Mus musculus: one gene and its partners. The protein of the gene in region 1 interacts with the protein of each later gene in a pairwise test. Links are inferred from orthologs where the notes say so. Each region holds a gene or a part of one and is shown in the gene's direction. Other genes may lie near its edges.

The links. The genes of interacting proteins can lie anywhere in the genome.
Region 2: the proteins of Mybpc3 (region 1) and Myh7 interact in a two-hybrid assay, tested with the Homo sapiens proteins (2 studies listed by IntAct). The link is inferred for Mus musculus from reciprocal best matches to the Homo sapiens genes MYBPC3 and MYH7.
Region 3: the proteins of Mybpc3 (region 1) and Actc1 interact in a two-hybrid assay, tested with the Homo sapiens proteins (2 studies listed by IntAct). The link is inferred for Mus musculus from reciprocal best matches to the Homo sapiens genes MYBPC3 and ACTC1.

What each region holds. Positions count from the first base shown.
Region 1 is NC_000068.7:91,120,124-91,126,810, forward strand, and holds part of Mybpc3 (myosin-binding protein C, cardiac-type), read left to right. Parts: intron 1-32; coding exon 33-140; intron 141-228; coding exon 229-377; intron 378-901; coding exon 902-1,019; intron 1,020-1,396; coding exon 1,397-1,445; intron 1,446-1,608; coding exon 1,609-1,638; intron 1,639-1,778; coding exon 1,779-1,832; intron 1,833-2,216; coding exon 2,217-2,219; intron 2,220-2,512; coding exon 2,513-2,524; intron 2,525-2,731; coding exon 2,732-2,895; intron 2,896-3,762; coding exon 3,763-3,895; intron 3,896-4,151; coding exon 4,152-4,154; intron 4,155-4,260; coding exon 4,261-4,385; intron 4,386-4,463; coding exon 4,464-4,569; intron 4,570-4,653; coding exon 4,654-4,820; intron 4,821-5,135; coding exon 5,136-5,301; intron 5,302-5,822; coding exon 5,823-5,929; intron 5,930-6,140; coding exon 6,141-6,170; intron 6,171-6,687. UniProt on the Homo sapiens protein: Thick filament-associated protein located in the crossbridge region of vertebrate striated muscle a bands. In vitro it binds MHC, F-actin and native thin filaments, and modifies the activity of actin-activated myosin ATPase.
Region 2 is NC_000080.6:54,990,649-54,998,135, reverse strand, and holds the start of Myh7 (myosin-7), read left to right. Parts: upstream 1-3,586; 5' UTR 3,587-3,625; exon of another isoform or gene 3,626-4,510; 5' UTR 4,511-4,548; exon of another isoform or gene 4,549-4,776; 5' UTR 4,777-4,832; exon of another isoform or gene 4,833-5,254; 5' UTR 5,255-5,262; coding exon 5,263-5,463; exon of another isoform or gene 5,464-5,752; coding exon 5,753-5,896; exon of another isoform or gene 5,897-6,141; coding exon 6,142-6,298; exon of another isoform or gene 6,299-6,392; coding exon 6,393-6,420; exon of another isoform or gene 6,421-6,935; coding exon 6,936-7,044; exon of another isoform or gene 7,045-7,127; coding exon 7,128-7,220; exon of another isoform or gene 7,221-7,330; coding exon 7,331-7,394; exon of another isoform or gene 7,395-7,487. UniProt on the Homo sapiens protein: Myosins are actin-based motor molecules with ATPase activity essential for muscle contraction. Forms regular bipolar thick filaments that, together with actin thin filaments, constitute the fundamental contractile unit of skeletal and cardiac muscle.
Region 3 is NC_000068.7:114,048,975-114,056,091, reverse strand, and holds the start of Actc1 (actin, alpha cardiac muscle 1), read left to right. Parts: upstream 1-3,216; 5' UTR 3,217-3,330; intron 3,331-4,031; 5' UTR 4,032-4,060; coding exon 4,061-4,189; intron 4,190-5,478; coding exon 5,479-5,803; intron 5,804-6,415; coding exon 6,416-6,577; intron 6,578-6,731; coding exon 6,732-6,923; intron 6,924-7,117. UniProt on the Homo sapiens protein: Actins are highly conserved proteins that are involved in various types of cell motility and are ubiquitously expressed in all eukaryotic cells.

The sequences.
Region 1 (6,687 bases):
CCCAGGACAGACCTCAAAAGCCTTCTTTTCAGGGTCAGTCTCGGTAACCCAGGATGGCTCAGCTGCAGAGCATCAGGGAGCCCCTGATGACCCTATTGGCCTCTTTCTGATGCGACCACAGGATGGTGAGGTGACCGTGGGTAAGTGGGAACTTTGTGCTCATACTCGGGGTTAGGGGAAAGGAAGCCCCAGAGGACCAAGGTCGGAGAAGTCACCTTTCTCTTGCAGGCGGCAGCATTGTCTTCTCAGCCCGAGTGGCTGGGGCCAGCCTCCTGAAACCGCCTGTGGTCAAGTGGTTCAAGGGCAAGTGGGTGGACCTGAGCAGCAAAGTGGGCCAGCACCTGCAGCTGCATGACAGCTATGACAGAGCCAGCAAGGTGGGACGCCTGGTCAGGGGCATGGGGAGCCAGGGAGTACAGGCATAGGGAGGCTGGGAGACTGGGAAGCAGGGCAGAGCTGAAATGTTCAGCCATACCAGCTGCACACTGCACAAAACAGCTCCCAAGTGGAGCCACCTGCCATCTGCTTGGACTTCTATCATGGTCATGTGCAGGCAAGAGCCCGTATGGGTCTTTTATTTTATTTTTTTTTTATTTTGTTTTTTGAGACAGGGTTTCCCTGTGTAACCCTGGCTGTCCTGGAACTCACTCTATAGACCAGGCTGGCCTTGAACACAGAAATCCGCCTGCCTCTGCCTCCCAGAAGTGCTGGGATTAAAGATGTGCACCACCACTGCCCACCCCATCATGGGTCTTGAAAGGTGGATGCTTTCTTTAAATTATAGAAGCGCTCTGTATGTGTCAGCCCTGAGAAGTGAGCTTGGCAGGCTTTGCCACACCCCTTCTCTTTAGGGACGCAGGGCCTCTCCTGTCCCAACCTTCCTTCATCCTCCTGCTCACAGGTCTACTTGTTTGAGTTGCACATCACAGATGCTCAGACCACTTCTGCTGGGGGCTACCGCTGTGAGGTGTCTACCAAGGACAAATTTGACAGCTGTAACTTCAACCTCACTGTCCATGGTGAGGGAGTCCTGGGGTCTCGTCTGGTCTTGTGGTCTTCATGGGTCCTGGTCCCTTGGGCTTGTCTCTATCTCCCAACTAGAGAGGGTGACTAGCTGTGGCCAGAAGCCAGTGCCGGTCACCCGAGGTGTGAACGAAATGCATGCTTTCAGGAGAATCGTGGGAGCAAGTCAAGGGTGGGATGCTGTTTCTGTGTCCCTGCCTCACACAGTTTGAATGTGAACTGGGAGGTGAGTGGGAGGCAGCCCACTGTGGAGACTGAGATGAGAAACTGCCTCATCTCTCTAAATATGAACCCTGGGAGAAGCTGAGAAGATGGAGTCTTGTGCTCCCACTCCCTGAGGTCACCCCCACCACTACATTCTCTTTGCACACAGAGGCCATTGGTTCTGGAGACCTGGACCTCAGATCAGCTTTCCGACGCACGTGAGTGGCTCTCTTTCCTTGGGAATGGGGGTGGGGGGCGGGGAGACCAGTGTGAGGGCTGAGGGCCCTTGACATTTTAGATAGACGCATGTGGGGGGTCCAAGCTGAAGTCTGTGGGGGGCAAGGGCAAGCTGCCAGGTCACTGAGAAACTAACTTCCACAGGAGCCTGGCGGGAGCAGGTCGGAGAACCAGGTACCCTTCCTGTCCTCCATCTATCCCATCACAGAGATGGGTGGGAGCCCCACCTGACTGCACCCCTTCCTCCTATACCACTCCATCGCCTAAGCCCCTGCTAGCTCTTCAGAGAAGCCTCATGGGGTCTCTCTCTTCAGTGACAGCCATGAAGATGCTGGGACTCTGGACTTTAGTTCCCTGCTGAAGAAGAGGTGAGTCCTTGGGTCACATCTTCTAGGGCAGAGATTAAGACATGGCATTGAGATTTCCAAGCTGTGTGTCCCTGAACAGAATGAGGCACTTCTCTGAGCCAGTTTCCTTATCAAGGGGGAATCTTGTCCCAGTGTGGACAAGAGTTGTCTTAATAACCATCCTTAGTCCCAGTGTGGACAAGAGTTATGTCTTGTGCCCCTCAAAACCTCCTGGTGAATCTACCATAGACCATTTCCACAGATTCTGAAGGCCCTAAGAAGTAGGAAGAAGGTTCCCAAAGCAGTAGCAGTAAGGACCTAGCCCTGACTTCATTTCTTTTTCTGTCCTTTCTTTCCCTCTCTCTCCATCTTCCCTTCATGGCTACTGCTGCTGCTCCTGCCCAGAGAGTAAGGCGTGGGGCTGGGAGGCTCTGGGTCTTACAAGAGGATTTTAGCTTTGGGGACATGTACCCTTTCTGCTGGGGTTTGGGGGAACTCACACACACCAGGGTGACATTCTTAAGGCTTGGAATGGCTCTGACACTGTCTGGTTTTATGAAGAATGAGACTCCTGCCCTGAAAAGTAGGGGCACTGTATGGGGAAGAGGGAACAAGTGAAGGCACTGGGAAGGATCCCAGTCTTGGCAGGGAGGTGTCCAGACTTCTAATGTATGCCTGTCTTTTTCCTTCATCTGGAGCAGCAGTTTCCGGAGGTGAGTTGAGGTTGGGCCCTCCTCAACACCCTAAGCCAAGAGTCCTCCCTAGTTCAACACCCAAGACTCTTAGACTGAGAGGGGAGGAGAGGGGAGGGGAAGGGAGGGGAGGGGACGGGAGAGGAAGGGAAGGGAAGACCTCATCCTGTGTCCTGGAAGGGACAAGGAGGGACTGCCTTGAGCTTCCCAGTGGGCTGTGGGACACAGGGACTCAAAGCTGGAGGCACCTGCTGAAGAAGACGTGTGGGAGATCCTGAGACAGGCACCGCCGTCAGAATATGAGCGCATCGCCTTCCAGCACGGAGTCACAGACCTTCGAGGCATGCTGAAGAGGCTCAAGGGCATGAAGCAGGATGAAAAGAAGAGCACAGGTTAGCCCTTTCCACACAAGGGAAAGCACAAGGCACCAGCTAGCTCCCAACAAAGGAGCCGGGCTGGAGAACAACACACAAAAACCTGTAGTATGGGCAGAGGGAGCCTCTGGGGGCAAGACAAGCAGTGGTAGCAAAAAAAACAATTTAAAAAAGAAAAAGTTCAGCAAGGCACTGCATGTTTTACGTAATTGCCTAGTTAATTCTCCCAACAGCACTGCCAAACAAGGCATAGTATCAGTTCACTTTTACAAGTGAGGAGACAGAGACACAGAGACTCCAGGAACTAGCTCAAACCCCACAGCTGTCTTCAGGCCCAGCCTGAGTATTTGAGGGCTTCTGCACAGCCCTTCAGCTGCAGAGCTGTTTTTACCAACATGGCTGCAAGGGGAGGCATTGTTGTGAGGTGGCCCTGGACTCCTCCATACCACACATTGGTGGGTTTGTGGCCTTGGGTCACCCGCCTAAGCCCTGTTCTATCTCTACAACCTGAGACCCATGACAATGATCTGGAGAACTGGGAGGTATGGCGCTAAGGGAGGGGAAGCCAGCAGGGATGCTACGGTGAGCTTGGCATTACCAAGAGGAAGAGAGGACGTGTGCTACATTCCTAGCTCTCACAACAAGCTTCTATCATGGTGGATGCCTCTAGCCCTGCCCAAGGGCTGAGCAGTTAGAAAGAACCTCAAGGAAGACAAAGCAAGACAGACAGAGATGAGAAGACAGGGTCATTATGGAAACCCGGAGGGTGTGTCTGGGATACGCAGCAGGGGGAGGAAGATGCAGGCACCTGCCATAGCCGCTGTGGTTGTGCTTGGGGGAAGGGTGTGGGCATTGGGGGTAGCTGGGCTGAGTTGTGGGGTTCAGCCTTTCAGAAGAAGCTGGAGCCTGCCTACCAGGTAAACAAGGGCCACAAGATTCGGCTTACTGTGGAACTGGCTGATCCGGACGCCGAAGTCAAGTGGCTTAAGAATGGACAGGAGATCCAGATGAGTGGCAGGTGTGGCAGAGGTGGGGCAGGGTTCTGGGTCCTGGGTCCTGGGTCCTGGGGTTAAGGGGGAGCCGTACTGCCTTGTATATTTCTGTGAGATCTCTCTGACTCTGGCTCCCAGTCCCTGTTTGTATCTTCCCCCACCTTTGGAATTTAATTCCAGGTCATTTATCAATTTCTCTCTCTCTCTCTCTCTCTCTCTCTCTCTCTCTCTCTCTCTCTCTCCTCTGTGTGGAACATGGCAATGGCCCCTTCTGTTTCATAGCAAGTAAGTCTCCTCCCCGACAGCTTGAAGCAGCCATGGGGTTGGTGAAAGTCACCAAGCCCAAGAGGGGCATCCGTGCCCTCCTGATATGCTGCTGTGCCCTGCCCAGGTACATCTTCGAGTCCGTCGGTGCCAAGCGCACCCTGACCATCAGCCAGTGCTCACTGGCTGACGACGCAGCCTACCAGTGTGTGGTGGGGGGCGAGAAGTGCAGCACGGAGCTCTTTGTCAAAGGTGGGCCAGGGACCAGGGAACCCTGGGAGGAAAAGAGGCCACAGGGGACCAGCTCTTATGTCGCTCCTCCCTGGACAGAGCCCCCGGTGCTGATCACTCGGTCCCTGGAAGACCAGCTGGTGATGGTGGGTCAGCGGGTGGAGTTTGAGTGTGAGGTCTCAGAAGAAGGGGCCCAAGTCAAATGGTGAGGGCAGGAGCATGGGGGTGTGAGGTGGGGCTGGAGAGGGGGACATCTGCCCAGAGGAGACACTGTCCCATGCCTGGCCAGGCTGAAGGATGGGGTTGAGCTGACACGTGAGGAGACCTTCAAATACCGGTTCAAGAAAGATGGGCGGAAACACCACTTGATCATCAATGAAGCAACCCTGGAGGATGCAGGACACTATGCAGTACGCACAAGTGGAGGCCAGTCACTGGCTGAGCTCATTGTGCAAGGTGAGGGCCCCTAGCCCAAGCCTGGTTGGCCTCATGGAAGGAGCAGGCTTTGGGATAGTGTTTGATACCATGACCTCAGCTTCCTATCTGTGAGATAGGTATGCTGAAGTATACCCTGCAGAGAGTGTTAGGAGGTCAACCCCTGAACCTGAGTTTCCTGTATAACTATAATATCAAGACACACATGTGTGTCCCGTAACTGCACATACCTAACCAGAGGCCTGCATACCACTGCCTGTGAGCCCACATGTCCCCACAGAGGACCACACTACACTCACATTCCCCGGGAGCTCACAGGCTCTGCCCATCCCCCAGAGAAGAAGTTGGAGGTATACCAAAGCATCGCGGACCTGGCAGTGGGAGCCAAGGACCAGGCTGTGTTTAAGTGTGAGGTTTCAGATGAGAATGTACGCGGCGTGTGGCTGAAGAATGGGAAGGAACTGGTGCCTGACAACCGCATAAAGGTGTCCCATATAGGCCGGTGAGTGAAAAAGAGTCAGGTTAAGGAGGGAGGCCAGACGACTCATGAAGGGAAGAGAGAAAAAGAGAGGAAGAGAAAGTTACAGAGGTCAGACATGGGAGGGAATCACATGGGAGTCACCCAAGACAGAAGGCAGAGATACAGAGGCAAAGGTTGGGAGACACTAAGGGTGAGGTGCCCTGCCATTCCCCAAACTGGGCAGTGGCAGTAACCACTGAGGAGGTGGCACTGGCTCATCCCAGAGCCTTTGAGGGCCGTGCTGGGCTCCAGTTCAGAGATTACCCACATCAGTGTTTGCCTGTCTCCAAGGTCCCTGACATGGGGTTGCCCCTGTGCAGACATCACGTCTGCACTGCTGACCTCAGAAAACACACAAGGGAGCTGGAAAACACAAAATTTGATAAAGTAGCCACAGTTTAAAATATGAGGACACTAAGGAGCTAGGGTAAGGCACAGCTCCCTGAAGTTGGGGGTGGATGGAGAGGCCAGGGTTGTGAGCTCAGTTACCACTGCCCTTCCAGGGTCCACAAACTGACCATTGACGATGTCACACCTGCTGATGAGGCTGACTACAGCTTTGTCCCTGAAGGGTTTGCCTGCAACCTGTCTGCCAAGCTCCACTTCATGGGTGAGCTAGCATTGTGTGTGTGTGTGTATGTCTGTGTGTGTATGTCTGTGTGTGTATGTGTGTGTGTGTGTGCATGCGTGTGTGTGTGTGTGTGTGTCTGTGTGTGTGTATGTGCCTGTCTGTGTGTGTGTGTGGGGTGGGGCATGTCCAGGATGCCCTATGTCTTGGTCCTTCCCTTCCCTTAATGTTCCTTGCTTTCCTTCTCTTTCAGAGGTCAAGATTGACTTTGTGCCTAGGCAGGGTGAGTCTTGGGATCCATTTGTTGCCACCTCATCCTTTTCTCCTACCCCCACATCCCATCGCAACCCTAGCCCCTTCCTACTTCAGACACAGGGATGGCAAATGTCTGGGAATAGGACCTAAGACCCCTGTCTTAGTTAGGGCTTCTATGGCTGTAAGGAAACACTGTGATAAGAAAGCAAGTCGAGGAGAAAAGGGTTCATTTGGCTTACACTTCCACATTGTAGTCCACCACTGAAGGAAACCGGGACAGGAATTCAAACAGGGCAGGAACCTGGAGGCAAGAGCTGTTGCGGAGGCCATGGTGGGTGCTGCCTGCTGGCTTGCTCCTCATGGCTTGCACAGCCTGTTTCTTATAGAATGTAGGACCACCATCCACAAAGGGCCGGCCTCTCCGCATCAATCACTAAGAAGACACTCTACTGACTAGCCCGCAGCCTGATCTTATGGAGGCACTTTCTCAGTAGAGGTCTCCTCCTCTCCGATGACTAGAGTTTGTGTCAAGTTGACATAAATCT
Region 2 (7,487 bases), on another chromosome or scaffold:
AGTTTTATAGGTAGCAGCAGGGCAGTGGTCTCCTGACTCAAGGCTATCCTGTGGAGATGGGTTAGGTCTAGGATCACGTGAAGGTCTTGTCTTCAACCAATGAGACTTGGTGGGCTGAGGGAAATGCTAGGGGCCAAAAAAACTAACTCTGGTGTCTGCAGTCTGGGTCCCTGGTGTTGGTGTTCCTGGAGATAAAAACCATTATGAAGTCTGTTATGTGCTGATGTGTGCTAGGTCCCTCACCTGTGTTTAGTCTCCATAATCCTTGCAAAAAACCACATTGATGGCAAAACTGTCTCAGGGAGTTATGTGACTGACCATACAGCTAGAAACTGTGGAGCAAGGTCTCAAAGGGGATCTCTGTGCTCCCCGGTAGCCCCCCCTTTAAGCTCCCTCAAGCTTCTAGACTGGCCACTCCACACAGTGCCCTCTCCAAACACTCTTGAAGGAGAGATCTACCTGCTTAATAGACTCTTATTGAAACTGGTCTGCCTCCCCAGCTGGTCCCTGTCTATCAGAAAGTCGAGATTGGGGTGCCTGGTGTATTGAGTGGGCGGTGTTTTGAGTATGCAGAGAACAAAGCATTTTGGAACCAGCGGAGTACAAAAGAATGACAAGAAGGAGCAGCTGCTTGTAAAGAGAAACCTGAGAGAGACTAGCTCAGCTCCCTAATCCTGGCCCATGTGGAGCCAGGGATAGGTTCTCCAAGGTCAGGGGATACAGGCAGCTAGGGGCAAGTGCTGGCTACCACTCCTGGGTCCCCTCTCCTGTTCTCAGACAACTAAGGCCTCCTCCTCCCCTTGGGCCAGACGCCCTACCTCTTCTGCCTCCTCCTGAGCCTCTCCCTTTGGGTTTTGAGATTCCTTTCAGAATTCTCTTTCCACGCTCAGTTCTCCTTTAGTTCAAGACTGCAGACCCCCACCTCCCCCTAATTCCCAGCAGTAATTTTAGCAAACTTTCCGCTGGTCTCCACTGGCATGTTCACAGCAAATGGCTCCTATTTGGACCTGACATTTGATCAGTGTGGTGACAGAGCCCAGACAAAGCAGGCACAATGCCTGGGGAGGGGAGGCTCGGGAGGCGGATCACCTTCCTTCTGTCCAGGCCTTATTTGGTCGACCTCAGCGAAGCAGCCTCCCTTTTTATTTATAGCACTTGCTGCCCCTTTGTCTTGTCTCTTGTCACTCTGTAGTGTGCTCCACATCACCACCCACTCCTCACATGGGTTCGGGCCCCCATTCTCTCCACTAGGAATGTCACGCACGCATGCAAAGCACAAGCTGTACTCTGAAGCCTGGGTCCACTGCTACAATCAGCTGGACAAAGCTCCCGGAGCAGGGGTCTTTGCTTTGGTTCATTGTTACGTATCTCCATTGACCACATCAGTGCCAAGCTCAAAGTTGGCCCTCAATGAATACTCACATAGGAAAGGATGGGAAGAGCCACCCAACCGCCAACAGCAGCAAGCAGGAGGCCAAACATCTGGGATATGAGACAGAGATCTTAAAATTAGGAAACTGGCTTTTAAATTCTGCCTTGCAGAGTTGAGAACAATACTCCAAAAACACCTTTAGACCAAAGCCCTCCAAACCTGAAAGAAGGGGGAAAGGGTGTGTGGCTAAGTTGTAGAGATGGCTACCTAATCCCACAGCCACACAGGTTGGCCCCACTCAAAGACACTGGCTTTAAAATGGCTCGCCTGAGTCCCAAGCTTTCTTTATCCATCTCAGTGCGTGCACCTGTGCCTGAGCCCTCTCCCAGAGCATGGCGGGAAGGCACCTTCTTCTGTTGGGAAAGCTAGAAGAGCCTGGGAGAGCCTGGTGGTACGCCTTTAATCCCAGCACTTGGGAGGGAGAGGCAGGTGGATTTCTAAGTTCGAGGCCAGCCTGGTCTACAGAGTGAGTTCCAGGACAGCCAGGGCTATACAGAGAAACCCTGTCTCAAACCACCCCCCACCCCAAAAAAAAGAAGAGCCTGGGAGAGCTTTAGCCTTCCTTCGGCCCTGGAGGTTCCTCCTAGGGAGGCTGCTCTATTAATACCTGGCAGGGTCGCAAGACCAGTTCTTCAGCAACTGCAACTGCATTCTGAGGACTGCGGAGCTGCAGCTGCATTGAGGTGCAGCCCCTACAGTCTGTGGTCCTCCCCCCACCTTCCCCCTGCCTTCCCCCTGCACACTGCACACAGCTGCTCAGCATCCTTACCCCTGCTTTGGTTACCAAGAAACCCCACAGAAGCCCTTCCTGGATTTTTCCTTTCCCTGCCATGCCTACCCCACCTTCACAATGTACCTGCTTTGCTGGCAGCCCATCCCCCAGGCCTGCCTCTCTCCTTCAAACTGACATCTAATCAACTGGATTAATCCGCATGCGCTCAGAGCTGTGTTTGGGAAGAAAGGGGATTTCAAACTAAACCCTGAGTCTGTTGCCTAGACACCGAGCAGTGAAGCTTCTATAGCTGGAAGAACAAGAACGAGGCTGGGTGCCAGCGTTGCTCCCGGGGCCTGCAGGGGAAGACAAGGTCTCTCCTGTCCTGTCCCTCTCTCCACTAGGAAGAACAAAGATTGCACCCACGGCTAGACAGAGGCCAGGTGGACCAGGCAGCCGTAGCCATATCATCTACAGCCCTGGGTAACCCTGGGAGGCTCAGGCCTTGCGCCTCGAAAATCTGCAGGGCAGCGCTAGAACAGGAAAGGGCTCTAAAGCAGGACCATGAGCAACTGGTCCTCCTCCCCAAACAGCTTTGGCATACTTCTTAGCATCCCTAGCCCTCCTCCCCTGATTGGGATCAACTTCCTATCTGCTGAGGTTCCCCACTTTTGCTTCGCTGAAGCTGTGCAATCTTAGAGGAAGCATCTCCCACCCCCACCCCCACCCCCTAAAGCAAAGCACTTAAATGGATCACTAAAGATCTGCCTGGCTCTGAAGCACCATGATCCCAGGGACACATTGCCTGCTGGCCCAAGGAAAGCAGTGTGTGAGCCAGAATTCCTGTGTCCAAACTCTCTGGTCCTAACAGGAACCTACTACCTTCTATCTGCTCCAATCCAACCACCATACCAGAGCCATGCCCCCAACTCTGCCCTGCCCCTCTCAGCTGCTGTGACCCAACCCCTTCCCACCTCAGACAGATGCAGGACTCAAGCCAGGAGTGTGGGGAGGATACTGGAAATAGGGCCAGGCTAGCACTGGGGGCAAGGCTTCTAAGGGGGCAGCAATGCCAGGGTCAGCAGGACCCTCTTGCAGGCCAGCCAGGGCCCTGCCTGCTTGAGGTCGTGGTGGTCGTGGTCAGCTTACTCTCTAGTGAGCCGTGGAATGTTAGAGATATTTTTGCTTCACTTTAAGCTGCCCCACCCCCTGGAACTCAGACCCTGAACATGCCATGCCACAACAATGACGACCACTTCCAATTGTTTCCTAGCTGGGGGAGGAGGGGGGAGTACTGTTTGGACAAGGGAAGGGGGGGAGAGTCGGGGGAAATGCTTTTAGTGACAACAGCCCTTTCTAAATCTGGCTAGGGACTGGGTGCAGGTGGGGGATGGGGCACCCTGCTGCCCCATATATACAGCCCCTGAGACCAGGTCTGGCTCTGAGCATTCTCCTGCTGTTTCCTTACTTGCTACCCTCAGGTAGGAGTGGGAGCTGGAGGCTTCCCTCTGGGATAAGGGGCTCCAGGTTCAGGAAGTGATTCCTCTAGAACAGCAGCGGGCTTCTGGCATGTAGTACCAGGTTATCATTGAACACTCCTGTGCAGATCTAAATACGCATGCTTGTGCCGTAGGAATGTGGGAGCCCAAGTGTTCCAAGGTGGGGGGTGGATATCTATATGTGCATATGGCCCAGAATGCAATAGCAGTGTGTGAGCATGTGCGTGCATGTGTGCGTGCGCAAGTACAAGCACACATATCTTAAATGTAAGGATCAGTTTATATTTTATCACATAAGGTACCTCATGCCTGGTTACAAGCATTTTGGCAGAAGAGGGACAGAATGATGGAGAATAACTCTTAAGGAAGCCAGTTCTGTGAACACTAGAGCCTGCCTATGTTTGGGGAAGTGTCTGACTGTACATAGAGGGGTTATTACTATGTAGGATATGACCCTGCGTGTAGTCTCTGAAATAGCAGTTCACAGACATGCAGGTGTGGGGGGCTCTGGTCTTCGTATGCTGAAGAACACGCAGCCACAGGAGCCTGCCTATGTGCTGGGCTGTTTGCACATGAACACTGTGGGGAGCATGTGTGCTGAGGATGGAAGGAAGTTTACATTCACGTCAAGTGTGGGCACAAGCAGAAGGCATGTGTATTTATCAGGGCGTGTGCAGGGGAGGCTGGGGTGTGCGAGGGTAGTCAGAGGGCTGTTGGAATCATGAGGCTCGAGTCTGAAATCTGGACTCTGCTACTTGTCCTGTGCTCTGAGAAAAGTAAGGCTTCAGCCTCCACTTCCTCACGTACCCAAGGGGCAGCCGCGAGAGTGAACAGCAAGAGTGCATTGTGACTATTGTTGTGTTGTAGGTGGCTCCGAGAAAGGAAGCCTCAGCAGAGGAGTACAGGTAAGGGTAGAACAGCCCCTAAGGGCGGAGGACTGGGGCTCGGAGGTTGTTAGTCTTTGGGAGAAAGGAGATAGAGCTTGAAAAGGAAGGATGCCAGTGACCAGAAAGGCTGACCAGCGCTGCTAATCACTCTTCCACGTGCTGAAGAACAGAGCCAGAGAGGAGGGAGGTGCCAGAAGCCAGGCTGGGCCACAGCCTGTCCTGACACCGTCTCTTCCCTTTCTCCAGCTCTTCTACAGGCCTGGGCTTACCTCTCTATCACTAGACACGTTTGAGAATCCAAGGTGAGAAAAGTTGGAGTCCAAATGTTGGGAGATCTGGTAAAACTGCACATAGTTAAAGCCCAAAGCCCCAAGCCCAAAGCCTGGCAGGTTCCTTTCTGCCTGCTCAGAGACAATGGCCTGGTGTCCAGAAGCTTCATACTCAGGGCCAGTGAGGGGCAGGGACTATTGACAGTCAGAGATTGATACAGAGTTCTTTCCCCGAAATACGGTCAGGACACACTCAAAGAGTGCTCCAAGTGAACGAAAGTAAAGCTGCCCCCTTGCCTTGGCACAGTTGCCAGGCTGCTCTCTGGTTTAGGGGTGAGCCTGGAGAAGGGTAAACTCCTGAGTGCTGAGCACAGTACTGGATTTGGGAGCTGCCACTGAGCGGGAGAGCCCAAGGTGCGGGAAGGCATATAGGTAACAGCTGCTCCTCACCCCAGGCTCAGCCATGGCGGATGCAGAGATGGCTGCATTTGGGGCTGCAGCCCCCTTCCTGCGGAAGTCTGAGAAGGAGAGGCTGGAGGCACAGACCAGGCCCTTTGACCTCAAGAAAGATGTTTTTGTGCCCGATGACAAAGAAGAGTTTGTCAAGGCCAAGATCGTGTCCCGAGAGGGTGGCAAAGTCACTGCTGAGACGGAGAATGGCAAGGTAGGTGTCGGGACTGGTGTGGGGAGGCCACTCAAGAGAGCCCCATACCTAGGGTGCCCAGAGAGGGGACAGGCGTGCACACCTGAGGACCCCCAAGCTTCCCGTCCTTTGGGTAGGGTGGGGGTCCAAACTCTCCCAAAAGTCTCCTTACTCCCAACATCTAACTCCAGTCTCTCCTCAGCTATACACCCCCCCCCTGCCCCCAACTCCATACCTTGCCGTGCTGCCCTCATGCCGATAGAGCAGGGCAGACACAGGTTGACATGAGGGCCTCTGTGGGCTGTTCCAGACGGTGACTGTGAAGGAGGACCAGGTGATGCAGCAGAACCCACCCAAGTTCGACAAGATCGAGGACATGGCCATGCTGACCTTCCTGCATGAGCCGGCTGTGCTGTACAACCTCAAGGAGCGCTACGCTTCCTGGATGATCTATGTGAGTGCAGCACCGGTCCATCACCCAGAACCCAGAGCTTCCTGGGCAAGAGCAGTCTCCTGAAGCCAAGCCACCTACCTGCCTGCTCTGTGTCCAAGGAGTATGGCACTCTACACCAGCCCCTGCTCCTTTGGCTCCGTTATAAAACCAGACTGATTCTGCGCTTCGCCCTTTGTTCCCATTGTCTCCTGGGGTCTTTCTCTAATTCTGACAACCACCCCTCACTTGCTCTTCCTTACCCTCAGACCTACTCGGGCCTCTTCTGCGTCACCGTCAACCCCTACAAGTGGCTGCCTGTGTACAATGCGGAAGTGGTGGCTGCCTACCGGGGCAAGAAGAGGAGCGAGGCCCCTCCTCACATCTTCTCCATCTCTGACAACGCCTATCAGTACATGCTGACAGGTAAGCCTGGTGCTCAGACCTGGGTCCCCTCAACCTGAATTCTCACCTGGACTCGCATCCCTCAACCCATTGCCTCTCCTCCTCTCTCTTCCAGATCGGGAGAATCAGTCCATCCTCATCACGTGAGTATAGCTCCAGAATCCCTGATCCCAGAATCCCCTGAGAGTACCCAGACTCCTTTGCATGCACCTATGGCCCTCTTTCTCTCCACCCACATGCCCATCTCTTTCTTCTCTGGTCTTTGCTCCAACTCTTTTCTTTGTGCCTCTCTCCCTTTCTGTTTTCCATCTTTCTCTTGTTTTCTCCTTTTGCCTCCTCACCCATTTCCCTCTGACTCTTCATTCATGTATAAGCTCATTTGGAAAAGCCCATGTATCGCCTTTCTTCATTTTCCTTATCTTTCACTTTAGAAACCTTTTCTCTCCTCCCCACTTACTCTTCCCAAACTGCCCTCTCCTCTCCTTGTCCTCTGTGGCACCGTCTTCCTGCTGGTTAACCTGATCCTATGTCCCAGTCCCTAACAACTTCCTGATCTGAGCACCTTCTCTCTACTAGACTAGGTGCTCTCCCTCGCTTGAGGCTCGTTGGTCTTAACCAGTGTCTTTACTGCCTATTAAGCCTTTGCTTGTCACAACAGCGGAGAATCCGGAGCTGGGAAGACTGTCAACACTAAGAGGGTCATCCAATATTTTGCTGTTATTGCCGCCATTGGGGACCGCAGCAAGAAGGACCAGACCCCAGGCAAGGTAGGCCCGCTGTCATGTAAAGGCTTGCATTACAGAAAAAGAGTAGGCAGCCTTCATATCCCATCCTTCTTGACCTCTTCCAGGGTACCCTGGAAGATCAAATCATCCAAGCCAACCCTGCTCTGGAGGCCTTTGGCAATGCCAAGACAGTTCGGAATGACAACTCCTCTCGATTTGTGAGTGATACTCCACCTTGAACTTGGGACTTGTGCTGGCTTTCGAAGGATGGCCTCAAATGTGAGCCTTTCCCAGGCTCATTGCTTCTCTCTCCCATCCATCTCTTCAGGGGAAATTCATCCGAATCCATTTTGGGGCAACAGGAAAGTTGGCATCTGCAGACATAGAGACCTGTAAGTTCCATGAATTTGCTGGGGCTTATTTAGGCTGAGTCCATCCTGGCTCTACAGCCCGATCCCAACCTCTTCCTGCAGTATGCAGTTTTT
Region 3 (7,117 bases), about 23 Mb from region 1:
GTAATACTCATATGATCTGGTAAATGCAAACAACCAGTTTGCATTTACAACACACACACACACACACACACACACAGAGAGAGAGAGAGAGAGAGAGAGAGAGATTCTGTCATTTACCATAACGTGGATGGAATCAGATCTAGATTATTAAGTTAAGGTGAAATAAACCAGACATAGAAAGACAAATTCCACATGTTCTAACTCGTGTGGACTCTGGAAAGGCTGATCTCATAGAAGCAGGTAGTTACTAGAGGCTGGAGAGACTCAGGACTCCTACAGTTAGACAACAATAAGTCCTTGTGTGTTGTTGCACAGTAGGGTAACTGTAGACGATGCATACTATATTTCAAAGTTAGAAGAAGAGCTTTGAATGCAGTTGTCATAAACCTTTGAGAAAAAGTATTCCTTTTTAGTATAAATATAACAACATGAAAATATATGTTGCTTTAAGTGTTAAAAGACTAGTTGAGGTCTGATAATAATTCTCGGCAGGTAAAAGTGAACTGTGCAAGACAGATGGCCTGAGATCAATCTCTAAGGTTCATGTGAAGGCCGAAGAGAAAACCAGATGAACCAAGTGGGTCTCTCAACTTTCTCCCATACTCTGACACCAACGCCTCCTCCCTCCAGAGACACTAATAACAATAAATATTTTTTAAAAAATTAAAATATACTCAATGGACCATAAAACATAGTTTTAAAAATGTCTCAAGGATGCGTATTACCTCCCAAAGGTGGTCTTCAGCGGACTTAGCTCTGCTTCATTAGGACTCACAGACTTGGAGTGGGTAAGCAAGCCCTCGGAACACTGCAGAGGGTCAGATCAATATCACCGGTCCCAGTTCCAGAGAACTTCGGCACACACACAGTGACAGGAATCTCTCATCAGCCTCTGTCAAACGCTTGCACGCAAGTTCAGGAACTTCAGATCCATTCTACTTTAGAAACAATTAGGCCACCTACAGTCTCAGCGCTCAGGAGGTAGAAATTGGGATGTCAGGAGTTCAAGGTCATCTTCTGTTACCCATTTTGTAGGGGGGCTTATCCTGGCCTATATGAATATATTTCAATGATGCCAAAAAAAAAAATAAATAAAACAAAAACTTAAATGATATTTCAAAAAAGGCTATCTGTGAAACTCCATTTAGATGCTTTCTGGCCCATTTCTAAATAACCCAGTGAAACCACCTCTCCCTTCCAAGGATGTTCCACGTCTCTGACTTCCACAATTACCACTGAGGATAAATCCTGTTGTGTGCTAGTTACCACTGAACTCTGCTTCATAATCAATAGAACATTGTTGAATGGAGGAATGAATGGTAGTGACCCAATTTTTCCAAACAGAAAGCTAATCCCACCTCTAAAAGTATCGAATGGTGACAGAGCAGGTTCAGTCTGTCTTGCGTCTGACTTACATTGCTTGTCTCTTTGTGGGCCAGTCCTCAGTAACTCAATAGAACTGAGTTACTATGCCACTTTTCAGGGGGGTGAAAATGGGGTCTTGATGAGTTAACTGGCCTGCCCGAGACCAAACGTGCGGAACGTAGTTAAGTGTTAGAGGTAGGATTTGAAGCCTGTCGATCATTCTGATTCTCCTTTTCTCTACGTCTGCTTCCTGTCAATGGGCATCCTCACTGTCAAATGCAGATGGTACAGCAGGGCTTGGTCTCAGCCAGGCAGGCCTCTCCCCAGTCTCCATGGCTCAGCTGTCCAGCAGTTTCATCCCTAGACCATCCCAAACATGGTTGAGAAGCTCTGAGGGGAGGACCCAGCACTGCCCGGCCCCTGAAGTATCTAATCAGCAGTCCTGCTCAGCATATCAATCCAAGCCCACTCTAGACAGAGATGCCGGTGCCCAGTTTTCTATTTTTAACTGGTGTGAACTGAAGGAAAAGCACAGCATTAGAAGTCCAAGCACTAGTCAAGAACCAAGAATACAGGGCACCCCAGGGCAAGCTAGTGACCTGTGTCCTTTTCTCTCCTGTTCCTTCCCCCTCTCTTCACTGCTATCTTTCTGTTTCATTCTGAAAAAAAAAAAAATGCAAAGTTCCTTCAAAGTGTTCTCCACGAAGGAGATGACTCCCGTTTGTAGCAATGCTTCTCACACTTTCAATGCTAATCATGGACATCTTATCTTGCCATACAGTAGATCTGACTCTGGGGCGGGGTCAGGGATACTGTATTTCTAAATCACTCAAGTTATGAAGATGCTGTTTATCTATGGTCCACGCTTCGTGTAGGAGGGTTGGTAAATTCTCTTATCCTAAGTGGCTATGAACTTCTCCACAAAAACATTTGCTTTTTAAGGTGGGTCATTACCTGGGATGAAGAACTTTATCAAAGCCTGTTTAAAAGATGCCCATCTATCTGCCAGCAAGTAACTGAGATATTTTTGGTATCAGTGCCTCCATTTATTTTAGCATCTGAAGACCCGGTGGTGGCTCATAGACTGAAATCTGATTTTGAGCAAAACTCTTACAGAGTGGATGAGAACTATTTGGCCTCTGGGCTGGACTTGGCTAGACCCTCAGACAACCCTTCTCAGCTTCTTCTCTGCCAACTCAAGACCATGTCTGCAGTGGGTCCGAGACTGGTGAATTCTGGCTTTCCCATCTAGATGAGCATAGTCCCAGCTCAGGCTAAAGGAGACCAGAAGATGCACTACCCAGGTGCCCCTTTTGCATCCAGGTACTCAAATATCCTGTCAAGCTGCTCTTTGTGCCTATGACTCTGCTCCTCTGTCTCCCAGTACTGGAAGATGAGAAGCTGCTGTCTGTCCCCTGCAGCCCCAGCCCAGCTGTCAGGACCCTTCTCCAAGGGCAGGGCGCCAAGTCTTCCGGCATTGTGTGTGTGTGTGTGTGTGTGTGTGTGTGTGTGTGTGTGTGTGTGTGTGTGTGTGACTCATTGTCCCTTAGTTTGGAAGGGCTGAAGAGCAATAAGCCCACTCCACAACTAGGGAGCTCCCCCACCCCAAGGGGCGCATTGGCATCACATAGCCTTTCCCCGTCCCCCACCCCTTGCTGGCCTGCCCCTCCCTAGCTCCCTATATGGCCATTGCTCTGACTGCCCCCTCCCCTTCCTTACATGGTCTGGGAGCCCCCTGGCTGATCCTCTACCCTGCCCTTGGCTCCAAGAATGGCCTCAGCGGTCCTAGATGGTGCTAAGGCGACCAAATAAGGCAAGGTGGCAGATCAGGGGCCCCCCACCCCTGCCCCCGGCTGCTCCAACTGACCCCGTCCATCAGAGAGCTATAAAGCTGCGCTCCAGGCGACTGACACCCAGTGCCTGCCACCAGCGCCAGCCCAGCTGAATCCAGCCGCCCCTAGCACGGTGAGTCCCAGCCTTGCTCCCTGCAGGACCTTGTCAGCACTGTGCTTTTGTGCTCTTGGATCCCACACTCTTAGTTTTGGAGGGTTTTGTTGTTTTTATTTGTTTGTTTGTTTTAGTTTTTTTTTTTTTTTTTTTCGTTTCGTTTCGTTTTGGTTTGGTTTTGTTTGTTTTGTTTTGTTAAGCAAACTTTTTGGTGAGGTTCTGACTTTTTGTTGTTGCTCTGGATCTCATGAAACCTCCACAGCACAAGAGCTCACTCCATCTCACCTCCTGAGCTTTTGTGGCTTCACTGATCTTTAGCACTTTCACCCAGTCCCCATGTATGGCTAGGGAGGGAGAATGGGTTTTCTGTTGGTGAAAATGTGGAGAGCTGAAAGGAGCTGAAAGGAAAGGACTTCCCTGTGCTTAAGAACATGGCTCCTTGCAGCCCAGGGTGTAGGGTGAGCCTCTTGACCAGAAGAGCGTGAGTGGGGTCTCACCAGCCTTCTGTCATCCACAGGGACACTCTCCCTGCTTCTCCCAACGCTTTTAGCTTTTTTTTTTTTTTTTTTTTTTTTTTGGTCTTGAGCATAAAGAAGAATACAATTGTCTCCTTACTTTCTACAATCCAATAACCCCACTGGGCCCTTCCGTCACTCTTCCCTCTAAAGGAGCAGGCCAGCCCTGCAAGCACTGAGTGTGGACCACTCTTCTTTCCTTAGCCTACAGAACCCACCAAAGCTGTGCCAGGATGTGTGACGACGAGGAGACCACCGCTTTGGTGTGTGACAATGGCTCCGGGCTGGTGAAGGCCGGCTTTGCGGGTGATGACGCCCCCAGAGCTGTCTTCCCGTCCATCGTGGGTCGCCCACGTCACCAGGTAACACTCTCCGTCCCTCCTAGCCTGCTCTCCATCCATATTCTGGGCCCCTTCTTGACACCCCCCCCCCTCCAGTCCAGCAATCTGTGAAGTGCCTCTCTTGACCTGACTGTTCAGAGACTCCTTAAGTCATACATGAAAGGCAATGATGAATTACACATCCAAGCCATCCCACGCAACTCCCTGCCAACCTCCAGATTCCAAGAAGTCCACTGCAGTGGCACACCTGTTGATGGGTCAGCTCTCTCTTGTGAAAGGCCACCAGTTTCTCATTCTGGACCTGTGGGTTTTCAACTGCAGTGTCCTGTGTCTCTGAACCTGGATTTCTTTTTGGCCCTCGGCCCTTCGTCTGTTCAGTTTAGTTTAAACAATGGAGCTAACTGCTAGTAATATAACTACTTGGAAATAACTAGTTCCCGATCTACATTCTTCCTTCTTGTTCACAGCCAGTTTTACAGGACTCCCCAAAGCTGTAATTGATCTCCTTCCTGGGTGTTGCATTTTTAGAAGTCAGATGTGACCAGAGCAACAAGTGCCATAGCGATAGTGGCATTCCACCTTGTTTATTAAAAGAAATGCCACACTCGCTGGGTTTGTCGCATGCTTGGCCAGACAGGCTGCCAGAGAGCAGAGCTAGAGTCCTCAGGCTTGGCCAGTGAAGGCTACTCCAGGATACTCTGAGGGTTTGACTTTCCATCTGAGAGATAGCAGCCTGTCAGCCTATGTACAGTGGATGAGTGTCAAAATCTTTTCTTAAGGGGACTAGAAGATGTAATGACATCATTAATTCAGTTGTGCCAAAAGACAGCCATCTACTTCTTAGGTGACATCAGTGATAGGCTTAGTAATTTAATGAAGTCATTATGCTATTCCAAGAACAAGATAAGACTCTGCTTCCTCAGTAAATCCTTTATTCTCTCCTCCACAGTTGTAATCAAATTAATCGACACACTTCCTCTTGTGGAGATGAAGTATATAACAATAGTCTAAATAATTTGTTAAAATTAGGATTATGTCTTAACTCCTGGGGGTGGGTTTCACACTATGTCCCAGGCTGCCCTGGTACTTGACTCTATAGGCCAGGCTAAATTTAAGCTGTGGCCTGTTTCAGCCTTCTGAATGCTGGCATTATAGGCATGAACAAGCATGCCTAACTTTCAAATTCTGCTTTTACTTTTTCTAGTATTTTACAGCTATTCATTGCCTCGAGAACTGGATATAGCTTAACAAGGCCAGGACCATATTCTTGCCTTGGTGGGAACACGATATTCTCATCTCCTTTTTTACAGGGTGTCATGGTGGGTATGGGACAGAAGGACTCCTATGTAGGTGATGAAGCCCAGAGCAAGCGAGGTATCCTGACTCTGAAGTACCCCATTGAACATGGCATTATCACCAACTGGGATGACATGGAGAAGATCTGGCACCATACATTCTACAATGAGCTCCGTGTGGCCCCAGAGGAACACCCAACCCTGCTCACTGAAGCCCCGCTGAACCCCAAGGCCAACCGTGAGAAGATGACCCAGATCATGTTTGAGACCTTCAATGTGCCTGCCATGTATGTCGCCATCCAGGCAGTGCTGTCTCTGTATGCTTCTGGAAGAACCACAGGTGTGTTTGGGCTAGGGGACGGTCACTGATTACGTATATTCTCAACTCACTGACTTTGCTGTGAACCCGAATCCTCACCTGACACAGGGAAGGTCCCCTCCCTGACTCTCTCTAGCAAGGTATCTATGCTGGGAGAAAAGGGTAGCAATAATTCCCTGAGGCTAATTTCAGGAACATTTACTGTAAGAGATCCAATAACCCGTTGAGTTAGCTCTTCTCCTTATTTAAGATATGTGATATGCTGTGTTCACAGCCCCTGGGTAGACATATTCAAGGACACACATTCTCCTGCAGAGTCTGAATTAAAACAGAGAGACACATCTTAAGTTGGATTGGCCCCAAGAAAAACACTCATGGATGCTTATATAACATGCTAATAGCTGATAGGAGACATAGCCATTTGAAAATGTCCCCAGGAAGATTTCCTACCACGATACTTAGTAAGAAAAACTGTACTGCCTTCAGAGTTAGTATCCATCCATTCTGGTCATTTTTATTCTTTGCATTGAGGGATTTGATTGTTTCCCATACCTAGGCAGAAGCCGGTTTCTCTATGGCTGAAGCAGTGGTTCGAAGTGCTTCACCCTCTTATCTATTTTTTTTTTCTAACAGGCATTGTTCTGGATTCTGGCGATGGTGTAACTCATAATGTTCCCATCTATGAGGGTTATGCCTTACCCCATGCCATCATGCGCCTGGATCTAGCTGGTCGGGACCTCACTGACTACCTCATGAAGATCCTCACTGAGCGCGGGTACTCCTTTGTCACCACTGGTAAGTGTGTGTGTGTGTGTGTGTGTGTGTGTGTGTGTGTGTGTTATCTGACACAGCATATGCCTGTTGCTTTTGCTTCATTGGTAGATAGACCTACTTCCCCATATTTGATCCTTTCTTCAGAGCTTGACTATGAAGCCCTCTGTCTCTGCAGCTGAACGTGAAATTGTCCGTGACATAAAAGAAAAACTGTGTTACGTCGCCCTGGATTTTGAGAACGAGATGGCCACAGCTGCATCTTCCTCCTCTCTGGAGAAGAGCTATGAACTTCCTGACGGCCAGGTCATCACCATTGGCAACGAGCGCTTCCGCTGTCCAGAGACTCTCTTCCAGCCCTCTTTCATTGGTAAGGGATGGCTTTTGGTGCTGAGCCTCAGCTTCTCTAGAAATTCTGCAATCACCCAGAGTAATACCCATTTCACTTAGAAGCATGGCAGGGGTCTCGAGTCAGCATCTGCCATCTTACTCAGCTCAGTCTCACCTCCTGATACCTCAGTAAGGAGAAAGACCAAGGCGCTCTAGTGAAAAATGAGGCTGTTA